Linked DNA regions of Elephas maximus indicus. The protein of the gene in region 2 purifies or fractionates together with the protein of the main gene of each other region. This does not show direct contact. Links are inferred from orthologs where the notes say so. Each region holds a gene or a part of one and is shown on either strand. Other genes may lie near its edges. The genes, in order: ILK and RSU1.

Region 1 (14,684 bases), on a different chromosome or scaffold from region 2:
CCTCCTCCACCGGCCCGATGAGCTGCAGCGGCTCCGGCGCGGACCCCGAGGCGGCGCCGGCCAACGCCGCCTCGGCCCCGGGCCCCGCGCCTCCGGTCTCGGCCCCCGCTGCGCTGCCTGCCAGCACCGGCGCGGAGAACAAGGCCAGCCCCGCGGGGACCGCAGGGGGACCTGGGGCTGGAGCCGTGTCTGGGGGCACGGGACCCGTGGCGGCGCGGGCCGGGGAGCCTGCGGAGCGGCGCGGGGCGGGTGAGGACCGGGACGGGCGAGGGCGGCGCTTTGGGCGGGCGAGGGCAGAGGGTACAAGACAGCTAGCTGGGGCTCTGAGCCTCCCACCTTTGTATCTCAGTTGACTGGTTCCCCTCCAGCTCCGGTGTCAGCGGGCGGCGCGGCGCCCCCAGAGGGGGCCATGTCTAACGGGGTTTACGTACTGCCTAGCGCGGCCAACGGAGATGTGAAGCCGGTGGTGTCCAGCACGCCTTTGGTGGACTTCCTGATGCAGCTGGAGGATTACACGCCTACGGTGGGCTTCCCGCCTGAACAAGGCCACATGGCCCGCTGTCACACCAACCTTCAGCCACACCTTTTGGCTTTTCATTGTCCTATTTGCTCCCCTCCTGGTGATTTATTCCCTTTGCACACCCAAACTGTGAGCTTCCTGATAGCCAGGCCTGTCCTCCATTTCCTCTATCCTTCTCCAGCTCAGCCCGGCAGGGCTCAGGGCTCAGACTGACAGTTGTCTAATTGATTTATCAGATCCCAGATGCAGTGACTGGTTACTACCTAAACCGTGCTGGCTTTGAGGCCTCGGACCCACGCATGTGAGTAAACTCGGGAAAGTTAGAGTTTTGGGTGCTTGTGCGTAGGTTGTCCATCTTTTTCTCATACCAGTTTTTTCTCTCTAGAATTCGGCTCATCTCACTAGCTGCCCAGAAATTCATCTCAGATATTGCCAACGATGCCCTACAGCACTGCAAAATGAAGGGCACAGCATCTGGCAGCTCCCGAAGCAAGAGCAAGGTGTGAGGGAAAGTTCACTGAATTAGTAATTAACCCCACAGCAGTGGAGACTTAACTTACTCTGAAACCGCTCTGGGGAAACTGAGTCCTAGGGGAGGTTTAAGATCTACTCAGGGTCACCCATGTGGGATTGAAATCTGGGAGGCTGTGCTCAGCTAGTGCTCTTCCCTTTTCCCTCAGGACCGCAAGTATACTCTAACCATGGAGGATTTGACCCCTGCCCTCAGCGAGTATGGCATCAATGTGAAGAAGCCGCACTACTTCACCTGAGCCACCCAACTTAAATGTACTTACTTGTCCCCATGTCCCCACACCAGCCTGTTTTCGTAATAAACTTTATTGTGACAGGCAGGGCTGATCCCTCCCATGCTGGGAGACACCATGTGACAAGTGGCAAAGCTTTGAGTCCAGCCCCTTTTGGGGCCACAGTGGTAGGGATGGGGACGAGGGATGGGCCCCATGGCTGGGGTAGTACCATGACTGGAGGCAGGGGAGACAACCAGAGTCCTGCTGCTTTGCGGGGGAGGGGAGGTGCACTCCCCCAACTGTGTCCTGATACCTCTGGAGTTTAGGCAGGGACTTTTCAGCCCTATTTGTCCTGCATCTTCTCCAGGATAGGCACAATCATGTCAAACTTGGGCCTTTTAGCAGGGTCTTCATTCATGCATATCTTCATAAGCTTACATACATGGGGGGAAATGCCTGGTGGGATGGTAGGCCGAAGGCCTTCCAGTGCCACCTGTAAATACAGGAAAAACGAGGTGAGCATCAGAACTTGAGTCTGTCATGTGGGGAGAGGCCTCATAGACCTTGGCACAGGATTACTGTATAATTGAACAAGTGTGGGAAGAGCCCACGCCCACTGCAAGTACTGCCACCACCACTACCATCCCCCGGCACGAGTGTTCCCACCTTCATGCCAATCTCCATGTTGGAGAGGTCAGCAAAGGGTACCTCCCGTGTCACCAGTTCCCACAGAAGCACTGCAAAACTCCACATGTCTGCTGAGCGTCTGTTTGTGTCTTCAGGCTTCTTCTGCAGAGCTGGAGGAACAGGACTTGTCTGTTCCAACTGCCTGTCCTGTCTCTGCCCCCTTCCACCAATACTGAGGTGACTCTTCTCTACCTCCCAATATGAGGCCCTCACCCACCTTCAGGGGCCACCCAGGCAGGTGCATACATGCGCCCAGGGCACTGGAAGGAGAACTTGACGTCGGCCATGCTTATTCGGGCAGTCATGTCCTCATCAATCTGAGGAAGAGATGATATGTGGAAGGAGGTGAGTCCTAGTCTAGATAGGTGAAGGGCCTCTGGGGGCCTGGGCCAGGAGTGGACTTGTGACCTTACCATTACACTACGGCTATTGAGTGCATGTCGTGGGATGAGGGGCTCTAATGTGTGTAGGAAGGCCATGCCCCTTGCCATGTCCAATGCAAACTTCACAGCCTGGCTCTGGTCCACAACGAAGTCTACAAGAGACAGGAGTTAAACAGTTTAGAGAAGTTGGTGCTCCACCCTACCCCACCTCAACCAAGGGCACCCACATCCCTACTCACTGGTGCCTTCGTGTAGTACGTTGTAGAGGGATCCATATGGCATCCAGTGTGTGATGAGGGTAGGGTGAGGAGCAGGTGGAGATTGGCAAGCCCCTAGCACCGGCAGCACATTTGGATGTGAGAAAATCCTGGGAGGAGAGAGTGTCCATGGCTGAGACCCAGCCAAAAAGATCTCCCTCTCAGTGCTATTAAGGGCTCCTTGGAACCAGCAACTTCTCTATCAGGTCTTGCCCCACCTGAGCCGGGGACACTCCTCATTGAAGTCCCTGCTCTTCCTTGTACTCCAGTCTCGAACCTTCAGCATCTTCACGACAATGTCATTGCCCTGCCAGCGGCCCTTCCATAGCTAAGGGACAAGTGGGAGTCAGGAGGGTTCAATGAGGGCCACTGCTTTCCTTGCCCACTAACTGGAGAAGGAGAAGCTTAAAGCAGGTGCACAGCAGGTAATCTGTGAGGGTTTGGGGAGGGAGGGACACAAAGGGGAGGGGTCACCTCTCCGGAGTGATTCTCGTTGAGCTTCGCCAGGAAGTTGAGCTGTTTGAAGTCAATGCCAGAGTGTTTGTTCAGGGTCCCATTTCCTGAGAGTGTGGAAAGGTCAGGTCCCCAACTTCCTGATAACCTGCTCCAGGAGCCCAGGATTATTCCCTGTTGCCACCCCCTCCTTCTACAACAGTGACTCACGGGGCCGAGTGCGGGTGGTCCCCTTCCAGAATGTGTCCTTGTATGGAATTCGGTTGAGATTCTGACCCATCTTCTCTGCCCGCTCTGGGGAAGAAAGACAGTCTTGGCCTGAGATGTGGTAATGGAGGGAGGAGACAGGTGGGGAGGGACAAGACAAGAAGATACAAGTGGGAGGAAGGTAGGGGATGCACCTCGGAGAAGCTCTCTCAGGGGTGCCTTGGCTTTGTCTACAGGCATCTCTCCATACTTGTTACAGATGCTGACAAGGGCTCCATTAGCTACCAGGTCCTGGAATGAGAAGGTGGTTGTGATGAGAGCCCCTGCTACCTCACAGATGTAGTAACTCACAGATACAGTACACACCCTGTAAGTGTCAAACACTCAGGATGGGTTGAGTATTCCAGGATCTCTCCCTCAGGCTCAGACTTTGCTTCCCACCCATCACAGGGCTTGGGGCCCAAGTCCTTACCTCTGCTACCTGGTCTTGGCCCCAAAAGCAGGCATAGTGCAGGGGTACATTCCCATGCTCATTCACTGCATTGATGTCAGCCTTGTACTGCAACAGCTGCGCCCCATGGCCAGACAGAAGAGGCAGAAGGCACAGTCAATCCCAAATGAGAGATGGGTGTTGGGGTATGAGGGGGAAAGAAGAGCACGCATACTTCTATTTATGTTATAGTGCTTGTGTTTGACTGCAAGGTATGGAGGCAGCATGGGTGATGGAGGGGTTCATACATACCTTCTGTACAATATCACGGTGTCCATGACTGGCTGCCAGATGCAGTGGGGTGTCATCGCCACGATTCATCACATTGATCCGTGCCCCCCGCATGATCAGCATCTCAACCACAGCAGAGCGGCCCTCTCGGCAGGCCCAGTGCAAAGGGGAGAAGCCATGGTCATCCCTTTGAGGAAGTGGTAATGGTCAGTGATCTGGAGGCGGGATGGGGCAGAGGCTTCGATACAGGAGAAACTGATAGTCACTCTTCATACTCTCCATGGGAAACCTTACCTCTCTGGGACTTCAATTCTCATTCATGCCAACAACTCCCAAGTCTGTCCAGTTGAGATCTTGCCCTGAGCTTCAGACCCAACCAAGGGGCACATAGGGGCAGCTTAAACTCAAGTCCATAATATGATTCATTATTTTCACGCCACCCCCAACCATCTATCGTTTTTTCGCTCGTACGCCCTATCTCATTAGATGGTAGCACCCTTCATCTGGTTTCCCCTAAACCATTTTTGCAATGTCTGTTGGTCCTGCTTTCTACTGCATCTCGTATATCCCCCTACTATAGCACTTGTTATACTGGACTGTAAGAATCTTGTTACTTGGCTGTCTTGTCCATTAGACTGTAAGCTTCTTGGGCTGAATGACACAGGTGTCAGCTCGTGCCAGTGTGGGGAGAGGGTGGCAGGGTGTTTTGGAGAAGGAAAACCACAACTCATGGGAGAGGGAGCCAAACTTACTTTTTGGTTCTGGTACTGAAATTAAAACCTAAAAGTGGAATGGAATTAAAATGACATTTTGGAAGGGTTTACCATGAGAAGGAGAAATGGTTTTGATAAGTTATTACTGATGAGGCAGATAACAAACCAGCACATAAAACAGGGATTCCCCTACTCAGCAATCCTGGGTATAATAAAAAACAGAAGAAAATGAGAACAGCTGCTTTGGAAGGAAAACTATACCTGACTTTTTTTTTTTTTTTTTTCCCTTAAGGGCATGTATTTTACAAAGGAAAAGAAGTATACAAAAAACAAAGCAATTGGGTGGGAGCTGGGCCTGCCTGACAGGCTGGGGCCATAAAAGGAAATTCCCTCCAGTCCCAGGCTGCAAACCCAAGGGGCGGGGCAGGGGGCGGGCCAAGGTCTGGGCTAGCAGCCTCCAGATGCCTTAGTGTTTCAGTCACTTCCCATCGGGGGCTCTAGGCGGGGCCTGGAGCTTGTCAGGGGTCTAGCCACCCTGACACACAAGCAGCTGATGGGGGTGGGGACTGCCGCCTCTAATTTACAGATCTCCTACAGCTTGCCTTCATCTGCTAACACAGCTAGCCAAAAGTTTTCCTGGGAGGTGGGTATCCACCGGAAGCAATTGCAACCTCCTGCTTATCAGTCTTGCCTCTCAGTTCCTTAATTTGTGCCCTGACTTATCAGCCTGCAGCAGTCTGTGGCCCCAGGGCAGACCAGCCTGAGGGCAAAAGTATGGGCACAAAGGCTCTCCCCAATGTCCAGTTGCCCGTCACCTCAGGCTCTGGATTTCCTATCCCAGAGATGCCTGCAGGAAATTGTCCCTCCACCCCCTCATACCCAGCATATATCCAGCTTGGGCCCCCAGACCCTGTCCCCTGAAACCAGCACCAAAGCCTTCTAGTTTCCCTAATGCCACTGTACCTTTTGGCAGAAGAGTCCTCCTAGATGCCTAAGCCTCTGTTTGTTCAAGAAAGTAGGAATGGTGCTTACTGTTTTTATCAAGCACCCTCTGAGAAATATGAAAAATGGAACAAGTGTACTCTGCAAATTATGAGGGAGAAATTGTATAAAGTCTAATGGGAACCAGTGAAGCTTAAACTAAGATGACTGGTGATCCTTACCTTTCAAATCTTAACATTACACTCCCCCAACTTTAAAAAATAAATTATAATCCCCACTGTGAATCGCCATCACTACTGCCATCTCAGCCAGTTTTAAAGAACTTGTTTACATTTACATTCACTTTATTTCCACACCTCCCATTCATTTTTTAACCTGCCACAGGTTGGCCACCTTGAGGGCAGGGATCAAGGGATCTGACTCTGGGTTTCCCGAGCCCAGCACAGGAAATGTTCAGTACGTTTCCTTAAATGAATGAACCCAATATAGTCCACTTTATTTTTTCTCTGAAATGGCTCTCACCAAAATCATCAAATATATCCTAATTGCAAATTCAACAGGTAAAGTTATTTTAAAGCTGCCTATATTATTGTCACACTGCACTACTGTTGACCACTCCGCTTTCATTGAAACATTCTCTGAGCTTTACTAACACACTTTTCTTTTTCTCCTTCAATCTCTGGTTGCTCCTTTTCCGTCTCCTTGCAGGCGTCTCATCCCCTGCCGTCTTGTCTTCCACTCTTCCAAGGCTCTTTCCTTCACACACATCTTCAGTTATTATCTATACGCTAATATCTACCAAATCTGTGCCTCCAACTCTGATCTCTCCTGAACACAAAATCTGCATAACCAATAACCTACTGTTTTGTCACCTTAACACATGCAAAATGGTACTCATCATCTTCCTTCAGTCTTCTCCATCTCAGTAAAAGGAACCACCATCTACTAAGTGTCCAAGCCAGAACCCTGGTTATCACCTATGACCTTCCTCACTTCCCACAGCAAGCACCACCAATTCCTCACCCTAAAGATTTTTGGAATCAGATCACTTCTGTCAGGCGCCCCCATTCTAGTCCAACCCATTGTCACTTCTGGAATAGCTTCCTGATACGCATTCTTGCCTGTGCTTCATAAAGCATCCAAGATGATACTTAACAAATGGGCAATCTCATCATATTACTACACAGCTTTAAGGGTTTGCTCTTAAAGACCTTATTATGCCCTAAATATCTTAACACGATCTGGCTAACCCCTGCAGTCCTCTCCAGACTTATCTCCTATCATTCTCCTCTTGTATCCAACGCTGCAGCCCACAGAAACAGTATTCTATCCTCCAGCCATATGGAACTCCAGAAAATTTCTTGTAACTCTCAGCTTTGTGTCTTGCCTCCCTGCCTTCGCCCATGTAGTTCACTGAGGCTGGAATGCTCTCTGCGGCCTCTGGCTGTGAAACTCATTCAGTTGTTCGAACACTGCTTCTTCCGTGGAGACCCTCTGCCCTCCACAGCTGTGCTTAACACTCATCACACTGGATGGAAAAGTTGGCCACCTCCGCCAGACATGAGCACCCCACGTCGGGGAGAAGGGTAAGACTCTGGCCATCCTCTCCCCACCAGCCGCCTGAGCTCACCCCTGGTTGAGGTCGTTCTCCGTGTTGTCCAGCCACAGGCGCACCGCAACCGCGTTGCCTTCACGGCACTGAGTGAAAATGTCGTCCATAGCAGCGTCCCGGCGCTGAGTGCCCTAGATCGGGTAAGCCTGGGGACTACAGCGTGACCCAGGGGAGAGGGGTGAGCCCCAACCTTTGTCCTCTACAAGACAGAAGTGTTTCTGTTGGGGGCGGGCGTCTGGGCGCTGCGTCCCCGGCTTGTAGGGGGTCAGGAATGGGAATTTAGTGCAATGGGATGATCCCCGACTGTGTCCACTGGGCATGAGGGAAAGGCAAGTCCGGGAGGGGAAGGAGATAGGCGCTGGTGTCTGCCGAAGGGATATCGGAGGGCAGGCACGGAGACACCACCCGCGAACAGAGCTGGGGGCGGGGGCAGGAGTGGGGAGGTCCGGGCACCGTACACCCGGTAGGAGGGGATCCCCGCGTATGGACCCCATTCCCTCCCGGGAATTCAGACGGAGTGAGGGGTCACGGGCTGGTGGGCCTGAGTGTTGGGGAGGGGCGCGGGTAGCCCCGCACTCACCGGGACTCGGGCTCGAGGCGCCTTCTCCGGGGAACTCCCGTCCGGCCGCGCCCGCCACCCGGCCCCGCCCCGCCCCTGGCCTTAGCGGGCCGGCGCGGGCCTCCCTCCCTCCCTCCCTTCCCGCCCCTCCCTTGCCCTTCTAGCTCGCTAGTGTGGAAACTCGATGGTTTTCGGCGCTGCGCCGGCCGCTCTAGCTGCCCCTGGCTTTCACTCTTTGGTTCCCAGCTTCTGCCCGGCTGGTGTAGGCACTTTGACTCCGGGAGACGCTATCGCACGTGGAGGGACGCCGGGCACCGCGACTCTGCCCTCCTGGCCCTCATGTTCGAGGAGCCCGAGTGGACCGAGGAGGCCCTAGCAGCCACGGCCTTCGGGCCCGTCGCCGCAGGGCCCCGGCCCGCGGCAGCCGTGCGTATCAAGGTGAGTGGCCACGCAGGGGCACTGGGACCTGTTTTGGGGCGCCAAAGCATTAGGGAAATCCCAGCGCCAGGGGCACACCAAGTGTGTATTGGGTGGGTAGGTGGGCCCAGCGGCACCGTTTGAGGCGAGTTCTGATTGAAGATCCGAAAACATTTAAGAGAAAATGATATTTGAGCTAAGTGATGAATAGAAATTTAAGCAAAAAGGGTTCCTTAGACCGGGGGGGGGGGAGAGGGGGGAGCACGTGCAGAGGTCGTGGGGCAAGAGCTTATGACCTGTTAGGGCCCACCAAAATGATCCGTGTGGTTGGAGCACAGAGAGTAAGTGAGAGGGGATGATGTTTAAGTTGGAGAGGTGGAAGTTTTGTATATTTTAAGTGCAGAGAGAAGCCAATGAAGTATTTGTAACAGGGGAGCGATTTGTTCAGATTTGCATTTTGAAAACATCACTGGTTACAGTGTGTGGAGAATGGGTTGGAGAGAGCAAGAGTTTGTGACATAGGGCTATGAGTATTATGATTAAAGGGGGTATGGGTGGGAACTAAGAACCTCCAAGGTAAGTGCCTGGTCTAGGACCACCCAGCAGGACTTCAACCCAGAATCAGCCTCCCCCACTAAGGCCTCCACCTTTGAGCCTCTACATATGTGCCGGCTGCTGTACTTTCTCACCCTCTTACTTCCTGTACGCTTCAGTGTGCTTCTAATATGAAATCTGCATGACTGACATCTGCTTATTCCCTTTTCATCTCCTCAGCTCATTGCCACAATCCAGATCACTGTTCTCTTGCCTGTACACTTGGAACAACCTTCTCACTGGTCTCTTTGTAGGTTTTCTCTTGACACTGCAGTTAGAGGCATCTTTAATGCGCACATCTGATCCTGTCACTCTTGTGCTCAGAAACCTGTGGCTCCCTACTTATTATAGAGTGGTATCATCAGCTGGGGACAAAAGCCTGAAATTGAGAGTTGGAACTCCTGGTCTCTGGCCTTGGGCCCTGTTGCTTGTGGCCTGAGCACATTCATCTAGGGAATTTCCATTGCCTCATCTGCACATTGAAGAAGGAGGAGTGGGTGGTTTCTCCACTCTCCACCTCCCAAGGTTTGGGACTAGGAAATGAACATTCTTCAGGGTCTTGCAGGCTTCCCAACTTAGCTGACTGGGAAGAATCCAGATATCTCTGCCAGTGCCTGAATCAGGCTCCCACCTCTCCCTTCTTACACTCCAGAACTCATCTATCCTCCTCACCCCACTCTCATACCTTGCTTACCCCAAGGGCTCCAAGCACCGCAAGCTCTTGGCCACCTTACGGGCCCTGGAGGCTGCATCTCTTCCCCAGCAACCCCCCAGCCTACCTGAAAGTGACTCTGAAGAGGAGGAGATAGAAAGGAAGAAGAAACGCCCCAAAAAGGCCTTGTTTGCTAGTGCCTCTGCTGAAGTAAAGGAGAAAAGGAAGAACAAACATCAAAAACAGGCCAGGTCTGGGAGTGACTCTGAGGATGAGGAAGTGGAAAGAAAGAAGAAAAGCTGCAAACGGGCTCTTCTTGGCAGTGAGTCTGTTGAAGAGGAGAAAAGAAAGAGGAAATGCCAGAAACAGGCTCCTTCAAGCAGAGCCCAGCACCTGGATAGTGTTGACCAAACAGGTACTCTTGGATATGTACATATATATATGGGGGGCAGGGGAGGGCAGGGAAGATCAGCTGATCCTACGTGTGACAGAGGCTACCTGTCACCATTAGGACTGGGGTTAGCCAATAAGAAGTACTTTCATCCAGGCCACAGTCTCTGTCTCAAGGGCAGGCATATCAGGGGATATTGAGTTTATGTTAATTGTGGTGCAATAATTCAGGAAAGGATAGTGACAATGGTTGTACAACACGAAGAATGTAATCAGTGTTGCTGGATTGTACATGAAGAAACTGTTGAATTGGTGAGTGTTTTGTTGTGTATACTTTCACCACATTAAAAAAAAAAAGACAGGCATATGGCCAATGTGACTTGCCAAGTGTCTGCTTGCAGAGGATCTTGCCTCAAATACACCTTCCCATTGCCCTACCTGCAGGTTCCAAAGTCCAGAAGGGTAGTGCTGCAGATGACCCACACAAGCCAAGCCCTGGGTCTGCTTCCCCTCAGTTACCCCATACCTTGAGCCGTAAGCAGTGGCGGAACCGACAGAAGAATAAGCGGAGACACAAGAACAAGTTTCGGCCACCTCAACCGCCAACCCAGGCTCTGGCCCTGGCTCCCACAGAGGAGGCAGAGGTGCCTCCTCCTCCCAGGCCAGACGGCTACGAGGCTCGGGCGGGAGCTCTGCGAGCCCGCATGGTACAGAGGCTGGATGGCGCCCGATTTCGCTACCTCAACGAACAGCTATACTCAGGGCCCAGCAGTGCTGCACAGCGCCTCTTCCAGGAAGACCCAGAGGCCTTTCTCATCTACCACCGTGGCTTCCAGAGCCAAGTCAATAAGTGGCCCCTGCAGCCTGTGGACCGCATCATCAGGGATCTTCGCCAGAGGTGAATGGGGGTGGGCACTGTAAGAAGTGATAATGGGTCAGTTATCATGGGCTCTGACCAGGCCAGTGAGCGACCCTTCCCTTCCGTTCCCAGGCCTGCGTCTCTGGTGGTGGCTGACTTCGGCTGTGGGGACTGTCGCTTGGCTTCGAGTATCCGGAACCCTGTGCATTGCTTTGACTTGGCCTCTCTGGACCCCAGGGTCACTGTGTGTGACATGGCCCAGGTAAACTCATCTGTGTATTTGGACTGTGCTCTAGGTCCATGTGCTCATCTCTTTAAAGCCCTCCTCCTCCTAACCCCCCGCCCAGGTGCCCAACCCTAGCACCCAGTGCTGGCTTTCTCCTCCTCCCCACACTGTGTGCCTGCCCCCATTTGCCCAGCTGCATGCTTCATACAGCAGTCTCTCTCCACAGGTGCCCCTGGAGGATGAGTCTGTGGACGTGGCTGTGTTCTGCCTGTCACTGATGGGAACTAACATCAGGGACTTCCTGGAGGAGGCAAATCGAGTGCTGAAGCCAGGGTAGGAACCCTGTGGACACAGATGCATATATGTGTGTGCATGCGCGTGTCTGCATTTACACAGAACTCTCCATCCCTCTCAGGGGTCTTCTGAAAGTGGCTGAGGTCAGCAGCCGCTTTCAAGATGTTCGGGCCTTTCTAGGGGCTGTGACCAAGTTGGGCTTCAAGGTCATCTCCAAGGTAAGTGCCCTAGAAAGTCTATTTTTGTTTTATGTGCAGCCCTTTCCAGGGGAGTGGTGTACAGGAAGGAGGCCATAAGCACAAGAACAGACATTTGCTCTCTGAAGGCACAACTCATGGGGTAGCCCTGGGAAGCTTTCTGAACAGGGGTGGGAGATGGAAGGAGGTATTTTGAGCAGCTAGGATGAGGATTTAGAACTTACTGGATCTTTTCTGCCCCTAGGACCTGACCAACAGCCACTTCTTCTTGTTCGACTTCCAGAAGACTGGACCCCCTCTGGTGGGGCCAAAGGCTGAACTCTCAGGCCTAAAGCTTCAGCCATGTCTCTACAAGCGCAGGTGACTGCTGGACCTCCCTTGAAAGGGGAGGCAGGGTTCAAACTCCTGGCTCAGAGCCCTGAAAACTGTAGCCAGCCAGGCTGTGAGCTAGGACCTGATGTCACCCTGCCCCATCCAAAGAACAAAATGTGATGAAGGCCCTGGCTCGGCCCCTGATCTAATGGAGGCTTCCTCGGTTGCAAGAAGCATGAAGTCACTCAGACTAGCTAAAGACTAAGGGGTTTATCCCGAGACTACAGGGATGTCCAGGAATCATGGATCCCTTTAGGCGTCATGGAAACTACATGGTTTGGAATTCAGGGCATCTCTGGGTTTAGTTTTCTTTTTCCATCTCAGGGGCCACATGGACTTTTTCTTGCTGTCTCCACTCCTCTCTTCAGATCTTCTCTCTGCAGACCAGCGCCTCTGCTCACTCACAGCTGCTGTTCTTTCAGCTTTGGTCTGCCCAGGCCTTCAAGGCTGTGACAGGTGTTGCTTCTTGTCTCTGGGGCACCTGGTAGCCCACCAATATCCTGGCTGAACACATCAATCTTGGCTTCCAGGTAGAGGCAAGCTGTCTCCACAGCTGTGAGGTGGGCCAAGATTGATTAGATGTTCCCTGCACTGTACATGTCTAGTGGTTCATCTCTCTCTGCTTCTGTCATCTCCAACTTGGGAGCCATATAGATTAAACCACTCCCAGCACCTATTTTCCTGTGGGGCTCTCGTGTGTGTGTGGCTGAGCACAGATTACAGAGTCAGGTAGACCTGGGTTTGAATCCAAGCCTGCCGCTTAGAGCTGGGAGTCATTTAATCTCTGAATGTCAGATTCCTCATTTGGAAAATGGTGAGGACTACTGTTTTATGGGGTTGTTGTATGGGCTAGGTGAGGAAATCTATAGCCTGGGCTGGGAACATAGGAGGTGCTCAATAAACTGTAACTATGGATATCATGTCTTGTGAGCTTTGTTCTCTGAAGACCTTTCCCTAGTCAGGAATGGAGATTGAGGGGTAAAAAATGGATTTGTTGGCTGAGGAAGGTTCTGGGACAGCTCTTCAACAGGCTGATTTCATAAACTCTTTAGAAATTCTCGATGGTTTCTGAGCCGTCCCTGGAAGTGGATTATGAGGGAACTGAGTCTCTGTTCATAAATTACTGGGTGATGCAATTTTGGGGTGGGGGGATTAGGCTATTCATTGGCGAAAGGGTCTGTCCATTTCTTCCCAGGGTAGCACATCCTGGGAAAGCTTTCAGCAAGGAAGGCTAGTGCTTAGGGGTAAGATAATTGGATAATATATCCCAGGCTTCCCTCAGAACACATCTGCCATGGGCTTGGGTAAAAATGCAGCCTCTTCTTACCTGGCTCCAAAAACAAGAACTGAGAGTGGCTACTGGGAAGACATAGTTTTCAGGACTCTGAGCCAGCATATGCCTCCAGTAAAGGGACAGTTTTGGGGACAGACTGTAGGCCAGAGGCATGCCTGGGGGCTAGGCTGGGAATCATGCGACAGACAGTGCACAGTGCCTTTGCATGTGCTACTTGCTGAAATACAGCCAGTTCTCGTTATTCACAATAGTTATGTTCTGTAAAGTCACTGTGAACACCGAATTATTGAATACTGAACCATTGCTCCTAGGGGAGATACAGGGGTTAGGTTCCTGCAAGCCTCTAGTCACAACATTTTTGTTACATGAAACATAACCTGGTTTTATATGTGTTTCTGTTGAAAAAACCGCAAGATACCTAATTTAAATATGTATTGTTGATTCATTAACATTGAACTCACGGCCAACAGCACTGTAACTCATGCCTGAACAAAGTTCACCTAAAACACATATTTTCTCCGTAAGGCACATCATAGCCTTCTTGTGCTTAGGAACACGAGCCAGCACTTCACTGCACTTAGGGGCCATTTTAAGGAGCGAAACCACCAACAAAAAGCACAAAAATGCAAAAAACATGGCACTAAATAGATCACAAAAGGATGTAATTGTTTACATTATGAGAACTGAAATAAGAAGGCAGAGTGTCACCTTGTCCGACCTCAGCTGAAAACTTGTGCGTCGGGAAACTCAAATTTTTTATCATTCTGTGCATGTCTGAATGACCTTGAAAGTACCATGAGTACTGATTCAGGGATTAAAAATAAATTTTAGCAAGTGGGCAAATTAAGGAACCCTGGTGGCACATGGTAAAGCACTCAGCTGCTAACCTAAAGGTCGGCAGTTTGAATCCACTAGCCGCTCTGCAGGAGAAAATACCTGGTGATCTGCTCCTATAAAGATTTCAGCCTAGGAAAACCTCTGGGAGCAGTTGTACTGTGTCCTGTAGTCCTGTAGAGTCACTATGAGTCAAACGTGACAGCAGCACACAACAACAATTTCACAAATATGAACTTCATGAATAATGAGGGTCACCTGTATTTTCTGAATGGTAAAGTTTTGCTCACCCTTCAAAACAGCCTAATTGTTTCCTACACACTCATTTCCAAAGCATTAATTTCTTCAAATGAGCTCTCAAAGCACTGTGTGAAGAGTGTACCTTCAGTATTTAAATACCGGGTTGTGATTGCTTTGTGCATTAGACCGTGAGCTTCTCAAGCTGTATTTATTGTGTTCCCAGAGCTTATGCACTTGTTCACCTAAGGGGGGCGGTAAGGAATGACAGGGTCTAGTTGAGTGGGATTGATGGAAGCAGAGGTGTTGCAGGAACCCAGGGCACAAAATGAGGGCACTGTGGACTAGTGGCAGTGGAAGAAGTGGGCTGACAGGAGTAGGTTAAGAGCCAGAACTGGTGGGAGGTTGGAGGTGGGTGAGAAAAGGAAGTCTGAACTAAGTTCCAGGTTTCTGGTTTAAGCAATTAGATGGGCTGGTGGTGCCATTAAAAGCGTTGGAATTTAGATGCCTTTGTAGAT
Region 2 (15,650 bases):
TTTGACTGAACATTAAACTAGGAATAATAAACATTATTGAATTGTACACCATTGTGCTGAGTTGTTTTTTAAAATTTTGTCTTTCATCCTGGAGTATGTATAAATTTTCAAGTTGAATTTTTACATTTTGATGAGGTATGTAAATATCTATGAATCGTTTAGAGTGTGAACTCTGGCGCCAAGCTGCCTGAGTTTAAATTTCAGCACCACTAGTTAAGTAGCTTACTTAACTGCTTGGTGCCTCAGTTTCCTCATTTGTAAAATGTGATAATATTGGTCCTGGACAGACCAGAAGAAAAATATAGAACAAAATTCTAACTCACAAACAAAGACCGGATTTACTTGCCTGACAGACACTGGAGAAAGCCCGAGAGTATGGCCCCTGCAGATCCTTTTAGCTCAGTAATGAAGTCACTCCTGAGGTTCACCCTTCATATTCATGTTTATATTTAGACTTGCATTCTAATGACCTATTATTGCTGTGTGCCATTGAGTCAATTCTAAGTCGTAGCAACTCTGTATGACAGAGTAGAACTGTCCCATAGGGTCTTCTAGGCTATAATCTTTACAGGAGCAAATCACCAGGTCTTTTCTCCCTGGCAGCCACTGGTGGATTTGAACTGCAGACCTTTTGGTCAGCAGCTGAGTGACTAACCTTTGCATCACCAAGGCTCCTTTTTGCCTATGATTTATTAGCCCCACACAAATATTCTTGTACTTCTTATTCAGCATATCTAAAATGAAACTCATTATCTCACCTTGTCCTTTCTTTTCCCAAGAAAATCAGCTCCTCTTTGCCAATTTTTTGTAGTTGGAACCACAGTTCTGCAGGCCCTCCTAGCTTTGATATTTTTTTTTTCCCCACATCCCAGTTGTTTGGTTTACGAGTGTTATTTCATCCATTTGTTCCCTCTTTTTCATTCCCACTCTGTCTTAGGATAATTCCTAAGTACTGCTCTTCTAGAGTATTCTAGACTTCTCTTACTATACCCTTCTTCACTTTTCCTTTGTCATTTAGACTACAGTCAGATTTAGCTTTATAAAACATGGCTCTTATTCTGTAAATTTTCTGTTCAAAAGCCTTCAATAGCTCTCTGCTAATATAGAAAAAAAATCCAAAGTCTTCAACCTTACATGGAAGGCCTTCTACACTATTTCCTTGATGTACCTTCTAGTCTTTTCTTTGAATGTCCTTTCCCATATATCCTAGAGAAAAGCTGCAAAAAACTACTCAATTGTCTTAGAATATTCCCTTTTTCTTTCCTTGCCCTGGACTTTTCCTTACACACTTTTTTATACTAAGGATACTTTTACCTTTACCTTCAAAATCTAATTTATTTGATTACAGTTCTACTGAAAGCTGCCACCTGCATGTAGCTTCCTAAATCCCATCAGTAAGAATTAATTTATTCCTTTTTAGTATTGTCATAGCTATTTTTATAATCAAATGAAAATATTTGCTAGACTTTATCATATTTAGTTGCATACATTAAGTCTTCCACCATTAAACTGTGATTTCTTTGAGGAAACGATTCTTGAGTGTCCCCCACACTTGTTATGTACTGAATGGATCCCTTCTTTACTGCTGCGCTGTCACTGTGACCCTGCTGTATTATCCCTACTTCGCCAAATGCAGACAGGACGCAGGGGGAGATGGATTAGTCGTCACTGGGAAGACTTCAAAATAGGCCAATGACTATTAGAAGCTAGATGACAGTTTGTGATTACAAAGGGATGGGAAAAAGTTGTGGTTTCTGGAGCTCCATGATAACTGTAGCCATAGACAGGCACCAAGAGGGAAGACCATGACAGTGGATGAGAATACATCAGTACTGAGCAATGGCCTACAGGGTTCCTGAAGTCCTCAGAGAACAATTTGTCCTTAAAATAAATTACTAAATGGGTGTGCTTACCACTGGTACTTAATGCTTTATACTTTTCAGATTTTTTTTGTTTTGTTTTGGCCAAAGCAATGTGTTCCCATATTAATATTTTTCAGAGAAAAATATAACCCTTAATCCCTCATAATGTCATTATTCTCATTTTATTCTTCTCTTTGAGAAGACACATACATTATTCACAAAATTTTATATTCCACGTATTGCATTTATTACATTGTGAGCACTTTGCATATTTTTGTACATTTAATTGTACATTTAAATGATGTATCAGTTGTTACACTATGTTTTATTTCAACTTCTCCCACCCTACTTATATTTTTATCCATTATACTACTCTAACAGATGAGCAGATTTTTCCATAATTTTTTAAACTTTGTATTTTGAAATAATTATAAAATCACAGGAAGTTGAAAAAGGTAGTATAGAGAGACCCTAGGTACCCTTCACTCAGCTCTCCTAAATTTTCCACAATTTTTTCTGAATTATTTCCTGAGGGTAAATTTCCAGGAAAGGTGAAAGGTATTTTTACACGTGTCCTACATTGCTAAATTGTTTGCCAATAGGATTAGAAAATGTTACACATCCATCAATGATCAAAAATCCTTGCCTCTTTTGGGAAAGTCTTCAGGTGAAAGTCCCAAGTCATCGTAACCAGATCATTCGTTTCTGGGAAAATTCCTAAGCATGCTCCAAATTTCGTAAAACCCTCAAGAATAAGTTTTAAATGGTATTTCATCCAGGCTGAGGAGAAATTCTGACAATCTACCATGTTTGAAAAAGCAAATTCCCAGAGAAATAATGTTTTAAGCAGGATCATGTTCCAGGCCGTATCAGGCTCTGCATATTTCTACCCAGGTTAAACATAGAGCACAGAGCAGTTATCATAGAGAATTATATTCATTATCAAGTATACAGAATAAACAGGACTATAGAATAAAGAATTGCATATGTCAAACCATCTGTGAGTAATGAAAGAACGTTCTAAGTCATAGGGTATGTTGAAATTGTTTATACAAATATGACAAAACTGTGTATATGTATTTACCTTCAAGTATATAATGTTTCCATAAGCACTACCATTGTCAATACCTAATTTAACAACGCAAAATGTGAAGTTATATATAGTTAATACAGGCTGCTATTTAATAAGAAGTAGAAAGTTCGGTACTCTGTATTTGTCTCCTAGTTTGCCAGAAATGGACCAATAAGGAACATCATGATAAACAGAGAAAATATTGAAGTTGTCAAGGATTTCATTTTACTTGGGTCCACAATCAATACCCATAGAAGCAGCAGACAAGAAATCAAATGACATATTGCTTTGGGCAAATCTGCTGCAAAAGACCTCTTTAAAGTACTGAAAAGCAAAGACATCACTTTGAGGACTAGGGTGAGCCTGACCCAAGCCATGGTATTTTGAGTCATCTCATATGCAAAAAAAAAAAAAAAAAAAAAAATTTTCATATGCATGCAAAAGCTGGACAATGAATAAGGAAGACCAAAGAAAAACTGATACCTTTAAATTAAGGTGTTGGGGAAGAATATTGAATATAACATGGACTGCCAGAAGAACGAACAAAGTTGCTTTGAAAGAAGTACAGCTTGAGTGCTCCTTGGAAGTTCGAATGGTGAAATTTCATCTCATGTACTTTGGACGTGTTATCAGGAGGGACCAGCCCCTGGAGAAGTACATCATGTTTGGTAAAATAGAGGGTCAGCGAAAACGAAGAAGACCCTCAATAAGATGGATTGACACAGTGACCGTGACAATGGGCTTAACATAGCAATGACTGTGAGGATGGCACAGGACCAGTCAGTGTTTCCTTCTGTTGTACATAGGGTCGCTATGAGTAGGAACTGACTGGATGGCTAATAACTAACAAGGTTGCTAGACACATAACTAAGGGAGGTAGTTGTTAGCTTCCTCTCCCAGAAGAAAACCCAACTTCTTTAATCAAGTTTTCCACTGCCTCTAATTAAGTCAAAAGCTTCACAAAAGAGATTTTCTTTATGTTAAATATGCAAGGTTAAGTCTTATTAAGAACATGAGACCGGGTGAATAAATGAAGCTAGGGAATGTGCTACTTCATCTTACTAATACTCAAATGTCAGAGAAATTATTTCTGCTCAGAGTACAGAGCCACATAAATTAAGTATTCTCACCTTAAAACTCCTGCTACTTTTAACTACGTATTATGGATAGATGTATCAATTTCATGGATGGCACTCTTAGAAAGAAAAGTGAATTCAATGAATAACACGATCAAACCTAAGGGGTCTTGACAAGCTGGAACAATGGACTAAATCTAACAAGGTGAAGTTTGACAGGACTAGATGTAAGATCTTGCTCTTTTATCAAAAATAAGTTACAAGGTACAGACATGGAGAAAGTTTAACAATAACATACCAAATTATATAGGAATTTTATCTGAAAGCAAGCATAACATGATGTAGCTGTCAAAAAATAGAAGATGATTTGATCTCAGGTTGCAGTACTGGAGTGATGGTATCTACAAGAGTCATTTTCAGTCAGAAAAATATGAATTAGACTAGGCATATAGACATTTCCTTAGGAAGCGTATTAGAATATCCCGGACATGTGTATAGACAGTTAAAGAAAGCATAATCAATATTATTGTATAATTTTTTCAAATGTTAAACATAAAAAAAAAATAAAGCTCTACAAAATATTTCAGTCTAGTGATCCAGAAAATATGGTGATTTTTAGAAGGCTGGGGTGGACATCCCGGGAAAATGACACTTTTATATGCAGCAAAAAGGGAAGTGGATTTAATAAGTCTGTGAGTAATTCATCTGGAAATTTTTTTAAATGCAATTACTGTCAGTTTAGTAAGAACTTAGAAATTACACAGCATCGAAAAAATATATTGTTAATGGTGAAAATTTTCTACTTATTCAGACCACAAGTCATCCATGACTACCAATTTAATAAGAAAGTTATTGGAAGAAAAATGATGTAAAAAGTGTTAGATGGTTTATGGAATTTTTTTTTAAATTAAATTTGATAACTTGTATTTTCGCATTACTTGGTAAGTAGTTTTATTATAATTTAGAGAAGAACTTAGGGGTATATTTCATAAAAAATTGTACCGGTAAAAGGGAAAAGGAGAAGAGGATTATAAAGGAGTGAAAACAAATTTGTGGAAGACAGGAAGTGAATGTTGGCAAATGGAACAGGAAGAAAAAAACCACAGTCTCAATTAATTTCAAGAGAGAAATGGACCAGAGCAGGAAATCGCTTTTCCAGATATTGCCTGACTACGAGGTTGGCAGGTGCAACGTGCAATGAGAAGGGAGATCACAAGTAATGGAACTTCATGAATTGGCAACCACAATCCTTCCATCAGTGAAAGCAGCCTTGTGATTACCTGTAGGCCAAAAACTTGGTTCTCACTTCCTTAGAAATTCAACAAATAGCTTAGGGAAAATTAATGACCTAGGCTAAATAAGTAGAAACAACAAGGGAAGAATGAAAACCCATGTGCTATCTAGAATAATCAACTCATATCTTCATGTTTGGATATGAAAGGACAACTAAGAATCCTCAGATAGGAAGGCTCTCACAGCATGAATGGGAAAGAACCAGGTAAATATACATAAGAATGGGCCTTTGAGGAAACGGTTGATTTGGCTAACAGAAGAGAGGTTTTAAAAACTATTTTCCTCAGAGATACTTGAGAAGAGAGTTGTGCTCATAAAACAAAAGCAGGGTGCAACTAAAGAGAAACAATCTTGGAACAACAAAGCGCTCTTAGAAAGTACTTTTTCTTGATAGTTAATTATTTTAAATTATTTTTAAAAATTTAATAGAAGGATTGGAAGATAGTCAAGAAAATTTCTCACAAGCTAAGCAAAAAATTAAGAAATGAAAAAATATGAGGAAAAAAATAGATACAGAAAATTGTCCAGATGCCTACCATCTGAGTAACTCCAGAAAGAGAAAATGGCAAGAAAGAAATTTCAAAGGAATAATAGAAAACAATTTCCCAAAGAGGAAGAGAGCAATGAGCCTTCAACTGGAAAAGACCTAAAAATAAATAAACAAATAAAAGGGGAGGAAGGCCCCCCCCAAAAAAAAAACAGTTGCCTGAGTTGACTCTGGCTCGTGGCAACCCCTGTGTGTCAGACTAGAACTGTGTTACATAAGGCTATCAATGACTGATTTTTCAGAAGTAGACTGCCAGGCCTTTTTCCTGAGGTGCCTCTGGGTGGATGCGAACCTCTAACCTTTTGATTAGCAGTGAATGTATTAACCATTTGTACCACTCAGGGACTCCATGAGTGCTAAGCAGTTTAAATAAACAGGTTCCCAACCAGAGTGAAATCATGAAATTTCAGAATAAGGTATATAATAAAAAGATCATAAATATTTCTCAAGGGAAAACAACAGTTTCCTACAAAGACTTGAGAATCAGACCGACAACCTTTCAGAGTCAGTACTGGATACAGAAGACATTGGAGCTATGCCTTCAAGTTTGAAGAGAAACTGATTTTGAACCCAGAATAATAACATGTGAGACAAATGATCAAAGGTGTGAACAAAATAATAAGCATATTTTCAAACCTGCAAAGGCTCAAACGTTGTGCCTCTTAAACACTCTTTTAGAAAAAGTTACTTGAGTGATAATCCAGCAAAATGTACAGAAGAAATGGCTATTGCCACCCGGGAACCAAGTGAAAAACAAAAACCACAGACAAACTGCTCAGCTGGAGGCATAGAAAGAAGCAGTCAAAGTTAGAGCAGTAAGTACGTAATTAAGCGGGATCCTAAATTCAAGAAGTATCTACTGGATTTCACTCAATGCACAGAATAAACAAGAAGCTGCAACATCTTAGTAATAAGGTGAAGATAACCAAAAGAAGAAAAAGGAAATAAAAGCAATTAGAAACTCCAGTAAAAATAACAATAAAATAACTGTATAAGGAAACCACGATCCAAAACAAAGCAAACTAAAATATGGCATACTTTTAGTGCATTATAAAAAGAGAGAAGTAATTTATTTGACCTGGGTATTTATGAGTCGGAATCGACTCGACGGCACTGGGCTGGGTTGGGTATGTTCTCCTTCAAGTGACACAGAGGTCATACTATTGGACTTAAAGAGAAGAAAGAACACATCATAAAATTTTGGCACACTATCTGACTCTTCAATAAATAGGATTAAAATAGCCAAAATAATGCAAGTGCTTTAATTTATTATTTTTCTATTTTTGAAATTAATGTTTAAAAAAGACATGGACAACTTACATATGTTTACAGAATAGAAAGAAAATATCATAAAAAATATAAAAACTAACAATTTTATCTGAGACAATTTGGTAAAATATGGGGGGAAATAGAGTTGGCGGGGTACTAACGTCTTCAACCTACGTAGTCACGGTTCACGATCAGAAGCTGATGGAACAAGAAACAGAAATCATAAGTATATTGGTTAAAGTTAATAATAATAATATTTTACTGGGTTATCTAACTATAAAAACTAGATGTGGGAAATACTGAAGTGAAGCAAATTCAAATTTCTGCTTTTAAAAAAGATGATGATTCAATAAATGGAGGTATCTATAGGATACAAAATAATATAGATGAAATTATGAAGTTAGAAAATCACGATTGAACGCCAAAACTCCTGAGTAAAAGCTTGATGAGGAATCGAATATTTACATAAACCCCATGTATCATCCCAGCCACTATTTATTATTTATAAAGAAAAAAGTACTACCTTCATAGTGAAGAAATCTGGCAGACACCATCTTAACCAAGTGATCAAAGCTATCACCACCAGAAATGGGAGAAATTTGTGTCACCTGCCTTTTGACGTGATGTAGTGGGAAGTAGGGTCTCTGTGAGTTGGAATCGACTTGGTGGCACTGGTTTTTTTTTGGGTTTTAATGGAAAGAAACTACTTTGGTGGTATTTCTCCAAAAAGTCATAATCTGAATCTAATCACCAGGAAACATCAGACAAATTCATATTGAAGGTCATTCAACAAAATAGTTGACCTGTCCAAAAACCAAACCCAGGGCCGTCCAGTCGATTCCGGCTCATAGCGACCCTATAGGAAAGAGTAGAACTGCCTCATAGGGTTTCCAAGGAGCACCTGGTGGATTCGCACTGCAGACCTTTTGATTAGCAGCTGTAGCTCTTAAGCACTGTGCCACCAGGGTTTCCGGTTGACCTGTACATTTTAATAACATCTAGTTCATGAAACATAAGACTGAGAAACTGTTCCAGATTAAAGAAGATTTAAACAAGCATGATCCTCTCATTGGGAATATTTTCTAAACCAGAAATTTCTGCTTTCAATTTTAAAGGTACAGCTCCTTCTCCTACCCCACTGGTTGAGAGCATTATTACCCATATCTTTTAAGGCTTTGATACTTGTTACAATGTACAATATGTTAACACATATATCTATCCATCTATCTGGTTCAGAGAAATGCCTGGTATCAACTTTTATTCCATAGTATGAAATTGTCTCTGAGGAGACTGTTTTGGGGGGAGAAGCATAGAATATTACGGGGTAATTGGGACTGGGTTTGAAAATAGGGAGGCAGAGGCCGGCAGTGAGGTCAGAATTCCAAATTTCCTTGCCTTTTTAAGGGGAAGTGGGAGATCCCTGAGAGCCATAATTTCATGTTTCACAGGTGCAAAAAAAGCAACTATGACTTTTTAATGGTTGCGTTTTACTTGTATCTTTTACTTGTATCTGCGGGTGGTAACAATTGCTCAAGACCAAAAGGGTCAGGTGCAAAAACCAGGTGTAGATCGCCACAAGATTTCAAAAAACACCGTTGCAAGCTGGGCGCTGAGGATTCTTGGCTTGGAGTTCTTGCCCTTGTTGTTGTTAGCTGCCCTCTGGTCTGCTGTCGACCTTATGTATAACAGAATGAAATGTTGCCCAGAACTGTGCCATCTTTTTGATGAGTGAACGTTTCTGAGTTGATTCTTGTGACCACCATCAATTCACCACACGGAGGGTTTCCCTTGTTTTTTGCTGGCCCTCTATTTACCAAACATGATGTCATTTTCTAGCAATTAGTCTTTCTTGATGACCTGTCCAAAGTAAACAAGTCGAAGTTCCACCATCTTCACTTCTAAGGAACATTCTGATTGTATTTCTTCTAAAACTGTTTTGTTCATCTTTTGGCAGTCCACGGTATATTCAAAATTTTTTGCATATAGCTGTAGGCTGGATGTCCTGACAAGGGCTATTAAAGGTGCAACTGCAAAGAAGAGACTCGGTAGCAACTTCAGCCGAGTAGGGTTTCATTTACAGAGGCAGGACACTGAGAGGTAATTGACTTCTAGCTTCTCCGGCAGCTACAACTCTCAAGCAATTTCAAACTTTCTCTCTTTTCCCAGAGCACTCTCGGCTTCTACCAGCACACTGAGCCTGCGACAACACTAGTGCGCATGCGCCAACTCCGGACCAATCGGAATCCCAAACCGGAGTGACTCCAAGGGGATGGGCTAACCTCAGGTGGGGCGGAGTCCCAAAGCCGAAAAATGGACTTGATTGGACGGCCTCGGGGGACACATTCCATTAGGGGCGGAGCCCCGCCTTGGAGCCACGTCTCAGAACCTGTTCTCCTAATTTGGGAAGGGTCGGGCGCTGGCGGGGCGTGGAGCGAAGAGCTGCCCCGTGTGCGCTTGCGCCAAGCGCTAGGGACAGGGCGTGTTCCTGGTTCGGGTTGCAAGTTTTGCCCTGAGCGAGCGCATCTCTTGCCACCCGAGTGTGTATCGCGGAAGCCTGTGGTCCCAACCTTCCCATCCTGTTTGGTGCTACCGTTCGCGGTGAGTGTGGTATTGCACTTGGGTTTGCTTCTCTGCTGCGGGACCGGAATGGTGCCGAACCCTTCACATTCCCGTGCCCCACCTGACCCATCCCCCTCCCTGCACCCGGGTCTGCCCTCTGATGCCCACTTTCCAGGCTGGGGAAGACTGAGGGGTGGCTGCCGGAGGGTCTTTCCTTTCTGTCCCCGCACCCTCCTGGCCGTCGCCCACGTGCTTTGTTGTTGTCGTTTGGTACAGACCATGTCTAAGTCTTTGAAAAAGTTGGTGGAGGAGAGCCGGGAGAAGAACCAGCCGGAAGTGGACATGAGTGACCGAGGGATCTCCAACATGCTGGATGTCAACGGCTTGTGTAAGTGCTCGGGCAGGACCTTCCCTTTGGATGAAGCTGGAAGGGGTTATAAACTTTCCGAGTAACTGCTAGTCCTCCAATGAGAGGTTGTAATGGTTTAGATCCCACCCCTTGCTGGTAAATATCATTTCTCCGGCGCTCAGCTCAGAAAGTTTGAAGTCAAAATTTGTTCTGTTCCAACTGGAAAATAAAGCTGAGAATCCAGGGTGAGAATCGTACTGTTGACTGCTGTGCCTCGTCAGTTGTCTATGCTGGTTTGTGGCATTTTGGTGTATTATCCGTCCAATTCGCTTGATAGCCTCTTTATTTTTTAGTCAAATCATTTTTTAAACCATTTTTCTTTTTTTCTAATATAGTTTTCAGTCCTTGAACAAATGTCTGACAAAAGTTATATGATTAATAAGCATTCTTGTACCTGGAGTATTTTAAAATTTCTTGACTCATTATCTTTTTCTGGATCTTTGTTCTCCTAATGACGTAGTTCAGACTTTTGCCATCTGCTCGTGTTATTGTGATGTCTAAATCCCCTTGTAGTTTAGAGACTGTTGCTTCCAGTGTTATTGTCCTATTGTATGTTACTCCCTACCTTTAAACCAGTGATTGCAAATTCATATGCCTCCAGGGGCCAGGTGAGGATGGTCCTGAACTCCATAATAGTATCCCATCTGAAGGGCGCAGCTGCTGTGCCTGCTACTTAGTTCCAAACAGTTGTCTCCACGTGAGGACATTGGCCAGTGTTGCCAGATCTTTTTTGTTTTTCTTAAGAAGTCAAGAATCCAGATTTTTATATGAAATTTCCTAGTTTTTAAATGTTGGCAACTAATTCCAGTACTTGAAAAACACTTTGTAGGTGAAATAAAACGTATTGAGGCTTTGTGACCCCAGTTTGTACCTTCTCCTCTGAACACATCTTCTGGTTGTCGTCCATCACTGACAGTAATGTTCCAAGTTCCTTGGCATGAAATACAAGACCTTTCTGAATCTGACTGCAGCCCACCTTAAATCCTTATCCTTTCCATGCATTTTACATTCTTTTTTGAACGTATTTCTCTTCCAGAGCCAGAGCACATTCTTTGAGATCTTGGCGCCTTTACAAGTATTATCCCTCTCTGTACTCTTCTTCGCCAAAAATCTTTTTACTTGTCTGTCAAGAGTAAGCTCAGACATCACAATGTATGGGAAGCCTTCTCTGTCTGTATCAAGCCAAGATAGTCATTCCTTCCTCTGTGAAGTTGGACATGCATTGCTTGTGCATGTATATATATGTATATATACACACATATATGTATGTATATATGCGCAAACTGTGGAATATTCGCATTTATGTTCTTTATAGTAATGCCTGGAAAACAGTAGGTGCTCACAAATGTTTGATGGATGAAGCAAAGATTGATGGATCAGGCTGGCAAGTTTATGAGCCAGACCAGGGTGTGACAACAGAGAAGGGGAGGTATCCAAGAGACCTTTTAGACGGTGGCTTGCTTATTGCACATGCAGACAGCAAAGTCAGGTTTTCTGACTCCGTGGCTTGTGTCTAGGGTGGAGATTGGGGTTGGAGCTATTGATTGTTCTTGTTGTTCTTCGGTGTTGTCAAGTTGGATCCAATTCAAAGCAACCCCATGTGACAGAGTAGAACTGCCCCGTAGGGTTTTCTAGGCTGTAATCTTCATGGGAGCAGATCACTGAGCACTTGGAGCTATTGATACTTACTGACAAAAGGAAAGGAGAAGAAAAGTTGTAGACAACTTGCATTTGGTAACTGTGATGAAGATACCTGCTGTGAAACTTAGGTTTTATACTAGGTAGCATCTCAGACTTTTGATATATGCTGGCCTCTCAGTGGTGATAGACTCTTGGTGTCAGCAACAGAACAGATGTCTCTGGTACTGAACTGGCTGTAGAGGATCTAGATGTGCTTCCATGTAGCCCCTGCCCAGATCTACTGCCATCCTGATTATTACTGGGGGCACTGTTGCTATAGAGGAAGAAGAGGATGAGCTGAAAGGAGGCCCAGCACAGCTGTACTCCTGGTTCCAAGGTGTTCGGCCCTTTAGCACCCTTTTTCCCGTAAGGTTGGAGGAAGAAGTTGCTTTTAGCAAAGGAGCTTTATTCCCCTCAGCTGTTGAAAAGAGACTTTATGTAATATTTGTAAGTAGGGCAAGTGGCATAACTGTTTTGGTTCAGCTTTATTATCTCTTTGAAGCCTTGAGTTTTATTAAAGACAGTAAGATAGCCACTTGCTTCCTGGAAAAAAAAAAAAAAAAGTTTCCAGTGTAACATTGGACGATGAAAAGCAAAATCATCCTTAAGTAGCTAAGGAAGAGCCACAAGTGCTTTTTGGAAGGTTTGTTGTTGTCATTGTTAGGTACCATAGAGTCTTTTTCAACTTATAGCAATCTTGTGTGACAGAGTAGAACTGCCCCATAGGTTTTTCTAGGCTGTAATCTTTACAGGAGCAGATCTCAGGGTCTTTCTCTTACGGATCCATTGGGTGGGTTTGGACTTCAACCTTTGTTAGCAGCTGGGTGCTTAACCATTGCTCCACCAGGTCTCTTTCTGAGAGGTTCAGTAGAAGTGAACTTGGAGATTCCACTTCTTCCTGCCTCCATAGTGTAGTCATAAGGAGTGGTACCTCTCCCCCCGACTTGCTGACCTTGGGTCACCTGAGAACCCAGGGGTTCCAGAACACTCTTCAGAAGCTCATTCCTCCACTGAGGCTCATTTAAATAGTGCACGTAATGGTTAGTCTGTAGATGTAAAAGAAAGTCACTACTTACAGCATGAATCTGCCCCTGCAACACCTGGCTATTGGGGCTGATGTATATTGGCAAAGTGATGAAGTATAATGCTTAAAAAAGCCCATTGCCATCGAGTTGATCTTGACTCATAACAACCCTATAGGACACAGTAGAACTGCCCCACAGGGTTTCTAAGGCTGTAAACCTTTACAGAAGTAGACTGCCACATCTTTCTCCTGTGGAGTGGCTGGTGTGTTCGAACTGCCAACCTTTTGGTTAGCAGCTGAGCACTTAACACTGCTCTGCCAGGACTCCTTCATGAAGTATAAATGTATTAAAATATTTGACATGCTCCCGTTACCTGTAGTATAGGAAGACCCGTACTTCTTCAACTGTAAAATTTTAATGGTAGCCATGACGTTTGATACATTGTTATGAAGATTGAACACAGGGAACAATTAAAGTGTACAGAGAATGGTTATTTCTTGTGTCTTAAGCTTCCCCTCATCATCCTTCCTTTGTTTACATTCTCTAAAAATAAGCAAGAATTACGTTTCGAAGGTAAGCATGAAGGCTTTGAACTTGTTCTAAGCATGCAGAATATCCATCTTTCTGTTGACAGAGTTTCGGGTTGTAAATGTCAGCGTTTTACTTCCTCCGAGACCATAAATTGCCTTCTAAAAATGTTTTCAGTAGTTTTGGTACCAAAAGCTTTCTGATGGGGAAATGTCTTAGGCTCAAGGCAGACATCAGACAGGTTCTACGTTTGTTTTTCATTTTTACAGCTTTTACAGTTGTACAGTTTTTAACCAGTCCAGTCAGATTCTAGATATAGTCAGATTCTACCGTGAGAGGCAGAAGTATACAGTATTGGCATTGGGTAAACTAGGTTCAAACCCTCTATCTGCTATTTACAAGTAGGTAACCTTGCAGAAACTACTTAACCTTTGAGAGCCTTGAATTCTTCATCAGCAAATGGGAACATTAGTACTGACTTCCTAGGACTGGTTCAGTGTTACTGCAGTAAACATCAAGTGCTTAGTGCTATGTCTGGTATCAAGTGAGTGCACATGAAATGTTAACAATTAATATCCAGGTGGAGGCCAGCAAGTGGCAGATGTAATCAGTTCCAGCATATTTCTGTGGCCTGAACCAAGAGTTTAGTTTGGTCCATTAGACTAGGTCGGGTATTTGTGTCATATATTGATGGGTCCTAGGTAGCCTATTAGAACCTGGAGGGTTTAGCACTTTTGCTTAGGATACTTATAGATTTAGATTGCTGTTTCTTTGAAATCCAGCCTAATTTTATTCCTTTTCTGTCTTTTTTTCTAAATGCCATTATAATCTGCACACACACTTTCCTTAGAGCTTCCAAGAGTAATGGTACCAATTGTGTTCTTTTTATTAAAGAAGTCACTGCAGAAACTCTCCAGCAAGCAGCAACTGTCTTCATCTGGATGATAAAGCTGCCTTTGAAGGGCCCGTAATCAGCCTTCACTGGGGCAAGGAATCCCTTGGTAGCCAGGCGGAGTTGCTTTCATTTCTTTTATTTAAGTCTTTTGTGACTTTTTAATCTCTTTGAGTTTATTGCCCTCTGGGTGGCCAAGCCTTTATCAGGTTTTTTCCAGGTTAGACTAAAATGTCTTTCAGAGAACTCTTTAGAAAGAAGAATGGCCTCCTACCACAGGAGTGGTCTTTCCAAAGGACCATACACAGTAATCAACAACATAATCACTGACTTATCTGCAAGGGCTATTTCAGGAGCCCTGTTAGGAACATATTTTATCAGTATAGGCTGTCTTTGGGGGAAAGGGAAAAGGGCTGAGAAGATCATATGATTTTAGTGATAACTTTTATTAAAAACCTTTTTTTTTTCCCTCAACCCCGATAAATTCTGTGAATATCTCCAACTTTGTGCTTTTAAACAGGTAGTGTCTTGTTCTGGGAAATTCTTTTTCTGCTTGTCTCTCCAGCTAACTTCCACTTGTCAACTTAATGCTTGTTGAAGGAATAAATGACTTAGCAATCCATGTGACTCCATTCTTGTGTCAGCTCCTCTGGGAAGCTCTCACTATATACTAAGTTTTACCCTATTGTCCCATCCACACTGGCTGAAGTGGCCCTTCTCTGTTCACTCTGCCTTCCTCTATTAGCCCTGACCCTGGAAGAATGCTCAGGAAAAGTATATTGAAGGAAGGAATGTTACTGCATTTGGTTAAAAATTTCATATTTCCTAGGTGATGCACAAATAGTTAAGCACTGGACTACTAACAGAGATGTTGGTGGTTCACACCTACCCAGCACTGCCTCGGGGAATAGGCCTGGCGATTTGCTTTCAAAAGTCACAGCCTTGAAAACTCCATAGAGCAGTTCTGCTTTGCATACAAAGTCACCATGAGTTGGAATCTACTCCACAGTGACAAACAATAACAACAAAGAATTTTAGGTTAGAAATAGATAAAGAGTAGAAAGGATAGCGCAGAGAAGGAACATGTACTCTGCCTCCCTTCCACATCCCTCTCCCCAGCTTTTCAGAGGGAGATAGTTTATAACCATTGGAAACACGATAGAACTGTCAGACATTCTGTTTTTTACTTTAGGACATAAATTACATCAAGATAGGAAATAAAAACAAAATATGACCCCTTGAGTGTAGCAGAACCAGTAATGATATTTTACTATTTTTAATCATTTGACATTTTGGCTCCGGTGAGTTGTGGCATCTTTTTTGTAAACAGCTTTTTTTTTTTGGTTATTAGCTGTGTGACTTAAACCTCTCTGTGCCTCAGTTTCCTCATCAGTAATGGGGAGATAAGAGTGCCTACCTCATAGAGTCGTTGTGAGTC

Evidence for each region.
Region 1: the proteins of RSU1 (region 2) and ILK purify together in Homo sapiens (affinity purification with mass spectrometry; 9 studies listed by BioGRID and IntAct, counting the BioPlex papers as one, with this or other methods). This does not show direct contact. The link is inferred for Elephas maximus indicus from reciprocal best matches to the Homo sapiens genes RSU1 and ILK.

What each region holds. Positions count from the first base shown.
Region 1 is NC_064825.1:60,259,097-60,273,780, reverse strand, and holds ILK (integrin-linked protein kinase), read right to left. Parts: upstream 7,914-14,684; 5' UTR 7,822-7,913; intron 7,441-7,821; 5' UTR 7,349-7,440; coding exon 7,260-7,348; intron 4,162-7,259; coding exon 3,996-4,161; intron 3,822-3,995; coding exon 3,726-3,821; intron 3,545-3,725; coding exon 3,448-3,544; intron 3,341-3,447; coding exon 3,257-3,340; intron 3,154-3,256; coding exon 3,068-3,153; intron 2,922-3,067; coding exon 2,812-2,921; intron 2,704-2,811; coding exon 2,576-2,703; intron 2,489-2,575; coding exon 2,367-2,488; intron 2,271-2,366; coding exon 2,171-2,270; intron 2,064-2,170; coding exon 1,933-2,063; intron 1,760-1,932; coding exon 1,610-1,759; 3' UTR 1,604-1,609; downstream 1-1,603. Other genes in the region: TAF10 (transcription initiation factor TFIID subunit 10), read left to right, coding at 18-249, 369-523, 757-821, 906-1,020, 1,201-1,290; RRP8 (ribosomal RNA-processing protein 8), read left to right, coding at 8,140-8,238, 9,512-9,878, 10,298-10,751, 10,845-10,974, 11,165-11,271, 11,354-11,450, 11,674-11,793. UniProt on the Homo sapiens protein: Scaffold protein which mediates protein-protein interactions during a range of cellular events including focal adhesion assembly, cell adhesion and cell migration.
Region 2 is NC_064822.1:40,078,772-40,094,421, forward strand, and holds the start of RSU1 (ras suppressor protein 1), read left to right. Parts: upstream 1-9,540; 5' UTR 9,541-9,717; intron 9,718-9,954; 5' UTR 9,955-9,957; coding exon 9,958-10,066; intron 10,067-15,650. UniProt on the Homo sapiens protein: Potentially plays a role in the Ras signal transduction pathway. Capable of suppressing v-Ras transformation in vitro.